Linked DNA regions of Macaca mulatta. The protein of the gene in region 2 interacts with the protein of the main gene of each other region in a biochemical or structural test. Links are inferred from orthologs where the notes say so. Each region holds a gene or a part of one and is shown on either strand. Other genes may lie near its edges.

Region 1 (3,651 bases), on a different chromosome or scaffold from region 2:
CCTTTCGGGCCTTCCAGGAGGCTGAGGAAGAAGAGGTGGCTTCTGATCACTGCCAAGTCTGTGTTCGGGGCCTCCCCGTCGTCCTGTATGATGCCGTGCTCGTGGGCAGTCAGCACCTCAGGTGGCACATGCCTTGGCACATGGGTGGGCACCCCATCCATCACACAGCATGCGTGTTGGCAGGATGGAGGAGCGTTTGTTTAACGCACAGAGCGCTGCACCAGGGTCAGCTCCTGCTCGGGACTCAGCCCGTGTGTAACCTCTGTGCCCACCTCAGAATTCTGTGGCGTTTTGCCAAAGTCCATGCCAGGGGGTCACCCACAGGGCCCCACGCCCAACCACAGACAGATTATGGACATGTAAAAGCCACACTTCTCTAAGTTCAACATCCCAAAAAAAGAAGGGAAGAAAAAGCTATTGGTGTTGACATTCTGTAACATTGTCCCGGGGTCACCATTTCCCCAGATCTGCCCAGTGAGCAGCTGACCGGTTGCTTCATGAAAGAGACCAGGAATAGCGGGGGGTGGGTCCATGGAGCTCTTTGATGTCAGGTTTACATCTGCCAAGGATTTTGAGGGTGCCAGTGTTTTTATTTTTAACCACCAAAGCATTTGCTTGCAGCCAGCGCACCGTGGTGTGAGTGACCTTCCTTTTTTTCCTTTTTTTCTTTCTTTTTTTTTTTTTTTGAGACAAGGGCTGGCCCTGTCTCCTAGCCTGGAGTGCAGTGGTGTAATTTTGGTTCACTGCAACCTCTACCTCCCGAGTTCAAGCGATTCTTCTGCCTCAGCTTCCCGAGTAGCTAGGATTACAGGCACACACCACCATGCCCGGCTAATTTTTGTATTATTAGTAGAGATGGGGTTTTGCCATGTTGGCAGGGAGCAGGGTGATAACATGGGAAGAACTCTTGGCCTCAGGTGATCCGCCTGCCTTGGCCTCCCAGAGTGCTGGGATTACCAGTGTGAGCCACCGTGCCCGGCCAGTATAAGTGGCCTTTCTGAGCAGAAGAGCCAAGTCCTTCCTTTTAGCTGGGCTCTTTCTCTCCTGCCCTGGGGCCCCTAGGCCCCTAGGTGAGGCATTTAAATTGGAGGGATGAGATAGACTCACTCAACTTCCCTTTATGAGGGAGGGGAAGCCCGGCCTGGGCAAGGCGGGCACAGCTGTGCTGGAGCCTGGACTCCAAGGAGCCTGGCATCCCCCTCGGGGCCAGTGACCCTCTTCTATCACCGACCTCGGACAGAGGGGACATGCAGAGCTCAGCACAGCTGCCATGGTTGCGCTTGCCAGATGGGGGCAAGAGGGCTGGTGGCAGCTGCCGCTCCCAGGGCCAGCTGAGGAAGGGGCGCCAGCAGAGCTGTGTGTGTGCCTCTCGTGCCCCTTAGCCGAGGTCAAGCGCGTGGGAGACACAGTGCTGGGGATGGCCACACAGTGCGTGCAGATGAAGAACGTGCAGAGGACCACACCGCAGACGCTGTCCAACCTCTGCCTGAAGATCAACGTCAAGCTGGGAGGCGTGAACAACATCCTGCTGCCCCAGGGCAGGTGAGGCCCGGCCCCTTTACCTCCGCCTGCGGACCAGGGCACGGAGGGATGCCTGGCAGGGTGGGGTGCGGTGTGCAGGGGACATGGGGACACAGTCCCCTCACCTGGGCCCAGCACCGTCCTGGCCACAGCAGAGCAAAGATGTTAGACACAGATCTGGCTGCTCAGGCTCTGCTGGGGACCAGGGGCGTCTGCAGGAGTTTGAGCATTGTGGTCAGGTTTCCAGACAGAGAAATTCGTGCCTCGAATCCCAGTGGGCAAGGCAGAGCAGGGCATGCCTCGGATGGCCAGGAGATGGGCTTCCCTGGCTCGGCAGCAGCAGCTACTGTGTGGACCAGGGCACCCCCATGCTTCCCACGCCAGGCTGGTCATGGATGCATCGTGCTGGGACTTTGGACTGAAAAACTCCTCATGGGAGCACACGTTGGCAACTCCCAGACCAGGATAGGATGTGTGGCCAAGCACTGGCCACCCGCCTGCCTCAGAGGTCCGGGGCTGACCGCCGGGGATGGGAGTTGGGGGCGATGGAGCTGCACCCTCTTCTGGCACCTCCTGACCGGCTGAGCGTCCAGCTATTCTAGGCCAGGGCCATGGTTTGCTTCTTCCCTGCCTCCAAAGCCACCAACCTGTGATGTAGGCAAGAAAGATGTCACCACACAATGACAGGCATCTTTGCCAACCCTGGCAGTTGTCTTAACATTTGGACGACAACAACAGAGAATACGTAGAATCAGATTATTTGTGCATTTGTGCAGAAGGGAACTGGAGGCTGTAGGCAGCCCCTGTGGCGTGGACCTGTTGGAGCTCCCAGTCAACGGTGGGGCTCAGCTGATAAAGCCATCCTGAGCCAGGCAGTGCGCTAAATCTGCATCACTGGCACACCGTAACAGAGTTAAGAATCCTAAATTGAACTGCCTTAAGGCAGTGACCCTCTGTGTTTGGAAAGTGGGGCGGTGGTGAGCCCCCGCTGTGTGCACAGGCCTGTGCTGGGTCACCACAGTGTCCTCACACCTCAGCAGCTCTCGAACCCCAGCGGGGCTTGTTCCCAGAGTGTCCTACTCAGCAGGACTGACCGGGAATTCCCACCGCTAGCAAGTGGACACACACAGTGTCAATGCTGCTACATGGGGGACCAGGCTTTGAGAGCCACCGAGTGACACGCACCCAGAAACAGTCTGTTGAATTCATCAGGGAGCAGGGTGATAACATGGGAAGAACCTGGATTCCCAGTGGAACGGCTGTGAGCATGGGTGTGGGCTCTGTGGTGAGACAGGTTCATGGGAATGAGCGAAGACCAGTCCCGAGCTGGCTGGGGACTGAAAGTGCTGCTCCTCAGTCAACAGGTTCTGTATTTATTGAGTACCTACTGTGTGCAGAGAGTTTGGGCCATAAGCGGACAGCACCGGGCCGGAAGTCCTGGTGGAGGCACCCAGGTCGTGAGCCTATCGTACAGGCGGCAGGTGCACAGCAGAGCCATGGGAGGGCCGTGAGAGCAGACAGGAGACAGGTCCGCCCACGTGCAGTTCCTGGGGGCCGCTGGGGAACCAGGGCTCCCTCGGGTGAGCTGGGGTGAGCTGGGGCTGTCGGAGGCACCCGACTAACAGTATGGCCAGCTCTGGCTCCATGAAGCTGAGAGGGGCTGGTGGCCTGGGCCAGGCCAGGGCAGGGGCACAGGGTGGGAGCACCTGGACTCTGAGATGTTTTGAAGATAGAGCCCTGGGGCTTGCCGGCAGGTGGGATTGGGCTGTGCGTGAAGGAATAATCAAGGCCCTTGGCCTGGGCTGCAGGAGAGACCTCGTCGTCATTAGATGGGGAGGCTGTTGGGAGGGTGAGCACTGGGCATGGGTGAACTGGACCCCACAGCCTCAGCAGAGCATCTGAGTACGGGTGATGAGTGGATGGTGGGAACCAGAAGGCTGGTGTCAGGGGAGACAGGATCCAGGAATCCTTAGCAGACAGGTGGTATTCCAAGCCCTGGGCCCTGGAGAAGGCTGGAGTTCACAGCCTGGAGAGAGAGGAACCAGCAGTGGAGATGGGAGAGGCTGGGGCAGGGAGGCTGGCCGCAGGGCCCTAGGCACCAAGGGAAGTGTGTCCCGCAGCAAGCCAGGC
Region 2 (3,651 bases):
TCCAACTTCACTTCCTGTGGAGCTGGAAGATCTTCCCCAACAGGGAGCCTGGGCATTGCCTTGGTTTTCAGGGAGGGGGTGGCCCTTTTGATTGTCCCATGCTCCAGTGCTAGAATTTGGTTGGTTTGGACCACTCCATTCTCCAATTTTCAACTCATCAGACCCAGTCGGCTGTTTCCATTCTCCCTGAGAGACCCCAGATGTCATTTTGTTCCCTTCACCCCATTTGTTGTCATTAGAGTCCTGGGGGCCAAAGTTCCAGGACCCACCCGTAGACCTGTTATTGTTGTCCCAAGAGTCATTTTTTGACCCAGTTGATTTCTGAACAGAAGCTCCTTTCCAGGAGTCCTCTCTCTCTTTTCCATTGTTCCCATTGTTTCCAGAATTGCTTTGTCCAGAGACTGTGTCAGTTCCAGAAGGCCCCCTAGCTGCACCCCAAGATCCAACACTCCCAGTCTTTCGATCTCCAGTGCTTTGTGAAGGGGCATCAGTGCTCCTGGAGGTGTTCCCCAAGCCCATTCCGAAGGGCATTCCCTTATTCTCCATGGGGTTTGGTGAACTTAAGTTCAAGGAGTTAGTGTTTCCATTTTTTGGTCCATCAGTGTTATGAATTTGAGCCTGTTCTCTGCCAGAGACAACAAAATTAACACCCGCATTTTCCATCTTTGACTGCTGTTCCCTGGATGTCTGACCTACTGTGCTAACCTGTGCACTGGAATTACTATTCTCTGCTTCCAATGCCCCTTTCCTAGAAGTTCCTTCTTGGACCAGTGCTGGCCAGGCAGATGGGTTGCTATTTGGGTTAAAGTTGCTGAAGCCAGAGCCAGGTCCAATTCTATCCTGACCACTCACATTCCTCCAATTTCCTAGTCCATTGTTGTTCTCTGTAGTTGAGTTGGAAGATTGAACAGATTTAGCCTTAGGGTCAGATTTCCAGACCCCAAGATTACATTCGTTCCCAGAACTTGCAGACTGGCACTGGCTCCCTTTTCCTTTGTTACTAGTGGTGCTTCCTGGCAGAGTGCTCTTCTCAGAGCCAGGGTTCGAGGCACTGTTGTTATCGGTGGTGTTTTCGGAAGAAGATTCAGTGTCTTTGCTGGCAATACAAGGCCACTCTTCCATGTCAGACCCGTCTACAATCACCTTGTCCCAGATGTGAATTGGGTTGGGGGAGGTGCCGTTGTTGGAGGAGGCTCCCGAGCCCCAAGTGGAATTTGCATAATTTGAAGCAGCAGCACCTCCAAGGGTTGAGTCTGGGGAAGAGATCATCTTATTAATCACAGCTTCACATGCATTCATTACCCATTAATCCCTCAAAGGGGCTCTCCTTTGAGCTCTGCCCTTAGGAGAGCTAATCACATGCCAGTTTCTCTCAATCCAGTTGCTTGTATCACAACTGTCTTAGTCATCTCTTCTTTTTCATTTGCCTTGTGTTATACCGGCTACGTCTCACTTCATCTCTCTCAAAACTACACCCTTTGCCGTTCCTGTTGACAGAGAAGGGCCTTCTTGTATTTTGGGACAAGGCAGTAGCAATGACACTCTAAACCTGCTCTGTATCTCCAGTCCACTCTAAACACCCCTGGCTGGAGCAATCTTTCTAAAGCACACCTTCGATTATATCACTGCTGTATGGAGAACCTTCAACAGTTCCTTAGTGCACAAGAATAAAGGTGAATTCCTTGGCCTCGAATGTCATCAAGATGCTCCATGACCCGGGACCAACCAACTTTTCTAGTCTTATCTTCTCCTGCTTCCTATGTAGATGTTAATATTCCACACTACTTGACATTCCACAACTCATGCCTTCTCACTCTGGCACCATTCCACGTTGGCACCTACTGTGTTTTCCTGCTGAATTCACACAGTGAAATTTACTCATCCTTCTGGGCCCAATTCAAGTGTCATTTCATCTACCAAGCTGTTTTCAAGCTCATCACCTGAAAATAATCTTTCCCTGTCTAGAGCCATTTTGCTCAGCATTGCGGCACCATGTTCACAACTTTCCTTCCCCATGTTAGCATCTTTGAGGCAGAGACTCTAACTTGCTAACGTTAGAATTCCACGCAGCAGCCAGCACAATGCTGCTGAGTAAGCATCTGCTGAATGATGGATGCCCGCTGAGCCACTGAGCTCGGTGCCCGGGGTGGGGGGGTGTCACACGAGTATGAATTAGGCAGAGTTCACAACCCCAAGGAACTTAATCTGATAAATGAGGCTGGCTCACCATATATTTTGGTGGAATTTACCATATTTGGTGGGAAAAAATGTTTTTAATGAGATCATTTCTTCTCGATTTACTTTGGCTTCTTTAACCAGGCAGCTTTTAATCAATTTGAAGTTGCAAAGTACTATACAGAGGCACAGAAAAATAAAAAGCGTAGAATCCCAAACTCTTGAAATTTAGGGGCCTCCTTGGTTTTAATAATGTGCACTCTGACTCACACTGGCCCCAGGTCTCCACCTAGGCCTGGCTACACTGGGCTGCAGAAACTCCGCCCAACAGGGCCCGCCCCCTCACATGCTTCCTTTTGCAGCTGGTTAGGAGAGGCCAGGAAGGAAAGGCCATGGGTAGGGCTTATCTCTGCAGGAAGTCTGTGTCACCACGAGGTTTCTTTCCATCCTTACTCTGCACACAACAAGGTGGTGACCGAATTTTCTAGGCAATTATTTGTTCAAACTCAGAACTCCAATAAAGCATCCTACTGGTGACAACCATCAATCCATTGTCTTTGCCAATGCTTAATGGTATTCAAGCTCTGAATTTTAATATCACCCCAAAAGACATTTTAAGTTGAAATCTGTTAATAAACTTTAAAAGATATTTAGAATTTCTTAGCTGATAGTTGACTTAGTATTCATCTGTTAAAAACTCTCAAAACTTCTAGTAGAACCCTTCAGCTAAATCTCTTTTATTTCTACATACAGTTTTTAACAAAGCTCAAAATTCAGGGCCCTCAAAAGAAATACTGATTTTAAAAATCTAATTAAAAAGCTATAGAATAGTATTATTTTAGAATCCTCCCAAGATTCTATATTGCAATGTAGCAAATCATTTTCTCTATCCTCCTAGCATTCTGGAAACATAACACAGGCATCTAAAGATTCGCCTTCACACAAGCCCCGTGTCCAATTATGCCCTGAACACATATGACAGTGGAACTGTGGAGGTTCAAATTTATAACACTCTGGTCTGAGAAGGAAAAAAGGCCCCCAAAATAATGAGCATCAACAGCTAAAACAGCCCTCATGCCAAGAGCACACACTTATGGAACACTAACCCTCAGTTCCAAGAATCACCAATACACATCACATACTAGGATCCTCTCTCATCTTTTGACTAATCCCAGTGGTTTATACAATTAATGGCTCTCCTGGACTTTACATTAAGCAATGCAAACAAAGTGCTCTCTGTCTGTCAAGCTGCCATGCATTCGATTCACAGCATGCCTTACCTGGCGCAGTCCCACTCTCACTCTGCAGCAGCGCTCCTGTCACTTGTGCGTTGTTTGGGTTTGCTCCAGGTGCTGTGCAGGGAGGAGGCCCTGCCCCACCCCCAAGGAGCATGCAGGACGGTGGAGGGGGCTGCCCACGTTTTAGTAACACTTTGTGGTCCTGCTGGCAACGGAATCGCGGCGGCACCTCCCGAGG
Region 3 (3,651 bases), on a different chromosome or scaffold from region 2:
TCTGCGATATTTCTTTAATTAATTTTATTATTATTTGAAAACTATATGTATAATATAAAAAAATTCAAATATCACAGAAAGATAGTAGTGAAAAATGTCTCCTTACTATCCTGGTCTCTAGTCCCCCAGTACCATTAATTGTTACCTTTTTTTTTTTTTTTTTTTTTTGGAGACAGAGCCTCCCTCAGGCTCTGTCAGGCTGGTGTGCAGTGGCACCATCTCAGATCACTGCACTCTCTGCCTCCTAGGTTCAGGCAGTTCTTGTGCCTCTGCCTCCCAAGTAGCTGGGATGACAGGCAAATGATTCTCCTGCCTCAGCCTCCTGAGTAGCTGGGACTATAGGTGCCCCCCATCACATAATTTATTGGTGTTTTTAGTAGAGACAGAGTTTCACCATGTTGGCCAGGCTGGTTTCAAACTCCTGACCTCAAGTGATCTGCCTACCTATGCCTCCCAAAGTATTGGGACTACAGGCGTGAGCCACCATACCTGACCAATTGTTACCATTCTGTTTTTTTTGAGACGGAGTTTCACTCTGTCATCCAGGCCAGAGTGCAGTGGCGTGATCTCAACTCACTGCAACCTCTGCCTCCCGGGTTCAAGCGATTCTCCTGCCTCAGCCTCCCGAGTAGCTGGGATTACAGGCACCTGCCACCACGCCTGGCTAATTTTTAAATTTTTAGTAGAGACAGGGTTTCACTATGTTGGCTGGGCTGGTCTCAAACTCCTGACCTCAAGCAGTCCGCCCACCTCAGCCTTCCAAAGTACTGGGATTACAGGCATGAGCCACCGTGCCCAGCCAATTGTTACCATTCTTGAATATGCTTCCGTATACTATTCTACACATGTGCAGGCATATATGCACATATAAAATTTTTAAACACCCAAAACAGGGTTCTTTATACATTGTTCTGTACTTTGCATTTTTCCACTGAACAATATATTTTTGAAGGTATTACATACCAGCACATATGGATCTGCCTCATTCTTTTGCATAGGTTGAGTGGCTGTGATATAACTTATATAATAAATCTATTGAGGAACATTTGAGTCTAAATTCTGCTACAAAAATGAAACTTGAATATTATTATATATAGATTCATTTTTGCACTCAAATATGAGTGTATTTGTAGGATAAATTGCTAGGAGTGGGACTGTTGGCCTAATACATTTCAGAGTTTTCAGATATTGCAACTTGTTTTTAAAGGTAAGTTGTACCAACTATACTCCCATCAATAAGGCATCAGAGAGTCTCTTCCTATACCTGCACCAATTTGATATTTGAGATTTTTTTGATCTTTGGCATCCTGATCTTGGTCTAATTTTAAATTGTATTTTTCTAATAAGTGAAGTTGAATATATTTTCATATGTTTAAAAATAATACATGGAAGGGTCATTTTGAGTGTAAGAGGAAAGGAGAAAAATTGATGCACGCACATATTAATATGTTTGTGTATATGTCTGGTAACTCGAGGGTGGCCTTGTGTACTATTCTCCGCCTTTTTTAAAGATATTAGAGCTGCTTCCTGATAGGAGACAGGAATGGGTTCTGGAGTTACAGGCTAGTAGAGAAAGTTCTACATAGTCTACATAGAGTAGGAGGGATGGAAGTAATCAGGGACATGAAAAAGATTGCTAGGCAGCACTGAAGCCTAATTGGGATTGAAACCATATAATCACAGTTGCTTCTAATGTACCATTTGTGTTATCCAGTAGTATTCAAGAACTTTGATTTAGAAAGTGTGAAGGTCAGTTGGTTAGATAAACTGGAATTTTGAAGGAATAATGGACACCATGGGGTCTAAGTTTCAGAGGACAGGAAGTAAGAGATGGTAATGGAGAAAAAACAGGGTGGTGAGACTAAGTGCTTCAGAGAGATGGAAGAGATGAGATTTTTCTTCCACGGTTTATTCTTATTCCAGTTCACATCTCTTCTACCTTTTTTGCTTATCAGATCTGGGATTCGAGATTGGAGCAGCCTGGATTCTGTTCCTGATTTGTTTTTTGTTTTGTTTTAATTTTTTTTGAGACAAGATCTGGCTCTGTCGCCCAGACTGGAGTGCAGTGACATGATCTCAGCTCACTGCAACCTCTGCCTCTCAGGCTCAAGTGATCCTCCCACTTCAGCCTCCTGAGTAGCTGGGGCTATAGGCACACACCACCATGCCTGACTAATTTTTGCATTTTTTGTAGAGACGGAATTTCTCTGTGTTGCCCAGGCTGGTCTCAACCTCGGGAGCTCAAGCGAAAGTGCTGGGATTAAAGGCATGATCCACTGCACCTGGCTGTTCTTTTTTTTTTCTTCTTTTTGAGACAGGCTCTTACTGTGTTCCCCAGTCTGGAGTGCAGTGGTGTAATTATAGCTCACTGTAACCCCAAACTCCCAGCCTCAGGTGATCCTCCTGTCTCAACCTCCCAAGCAACTGGGATTATAGGCACATGCTACCATACCCAGCTAACTAAAAAAAAAATTTTTTTTTTTTTTTTGTAGAAAATGGGGTCTCACTCTGTTGCCTAAGCTAGCCTTGAGCTCCTAGGCTCAAGTGATCCTCCTGCCTCGGCTGCCCAAAGTACTGGGATTACAGGTGTCAGCCACCATACCTAGCCCTATTCCTGATTCTTGATAGACCCTGGAGTCAAGCTTTTCTCCCTTTAGCCTCCCCGTCTTCTCAGAAGGCACTCACACCACTCTTTCAGGTCCGTTAGAGCCTTGGTGGTCTGAGGACCAGCAGTGTCGCTTGGGAGCATGTTAGAAATGCAGAATTTCAGGCTTCACTCTAGACCTGCTGAATCCGAAGCTACCTTTTAATAAAATCTCCATGTGATTCATAGGAAAGTTAAAGTTTGAGAAGCACTGTCATAGAGTAGATGTTAGGAGTGAATATAATAGATGGGACATTGCCTGGACTTTGAATTACTTCCAAAAGCTTGAAGTGGTGGTAGTCTCTCAGCTTCCACAGGCCACTCCTATCCCCCACAGGGAAGTGGTGGAATACATGGTCCAGCATTTCAAGCCTCAGATCTTTGGTGATCGCAAGCCTGTGTATGATGGAAAGAAGAACATTTACACTGTCACAGCACTGCCCATTGGCAACGAACGGGTAAGGTTGGGAGTCAGGCTAGGCCTGTGTCAGGGGTCTGGGGTAGAACCAAGCTCGTGTAAGCCTCTTTGGAGTCTGGTGATCCAGAGATCCTTTTCATCTTTTGTGCTGAGAAAGTATGTTTTAGGGTGAGGGGTGGGTAGGTGCTGATGTTTATTTAGTCTCATATGCCTGTCCGTGTCCTAAACAGATTGAGATTAGACTTAAAATAGACCTAAAGGACTTCCTGCTAGGCTGAGAGGTAGTTGAGAGGAAGAGAAGCACTGAGCCAAGGTGGCTAGAACCTAAGGGGCTGGACTTACTTTGGGGTCTTCATTATGAGCCCCTGTCAACTTGAGAAACTTATTCTCAGCAAATCCATGGAGTTGGGGGTCATTCTCGTAGAGCAATGGCAATCCTTCACTCCTTTCTCTCACCCTCCTGAAGGTCGACTTTGAGGTGACAATCCCTGGGGAAGGGAAGGATCGAATCTTTAAGGTCTCCATCAAGTGGCTAGCCATTGTGAGCTGGCGAATGCTGCATGAGGCCCTGGTCAGCGGCCAGATCCCT

What was found.
Region 1: the proteins of TNRC6B (region 2) and AGO2 form a complex in vitro, tested with the Homo sapiens proteins (3 studies listed by BioGRID and IntAct, with this or other methods). The link is inferred for Macaca mulatta from reciprocal best matches to the Homo sapiens genes TNRC6B and AGO2.
Region 3: the proteins of TNRC6B (region 2) and AGO1 form a complex in vitro, tested with the Homo sapiens proteins (2 studies listed by BioGRID and IntAct). The link is inferred for Macaca mulatta from reciprocal best matches to the Homo sapiens genes TNRC6B and AGO1.

Annotation. Positions count from the first base shown.
Region 1 is NC_133413.1:150,868,733-150,872,383, reverse strand, and holds part of AGO2 (protein argonaute-2), read left to right. Parts: intron 1-1,382; coding exon 1,383-1,542; intron 1,543-3,651.
Region 2 is NC_133415.1:11,263,390-11,267,040, forward strand, and holds part of TNRC6B (trinucleotide repeat-containing gene 6B protein), read right to left. Parts: coding exon 3,456-3,651; intron 1,254-3,455; coding exon 1-1,253.
Region 3 is NC_133406.1:204,916,782-204,920,432, reverse strand, and holds part of AGO1 (protein argonaute-1), read left to right. Parts: intron 1-2,981; coding exon 2,982-3,102; intron 3,103-3,528; coding exon 3,529-3,651.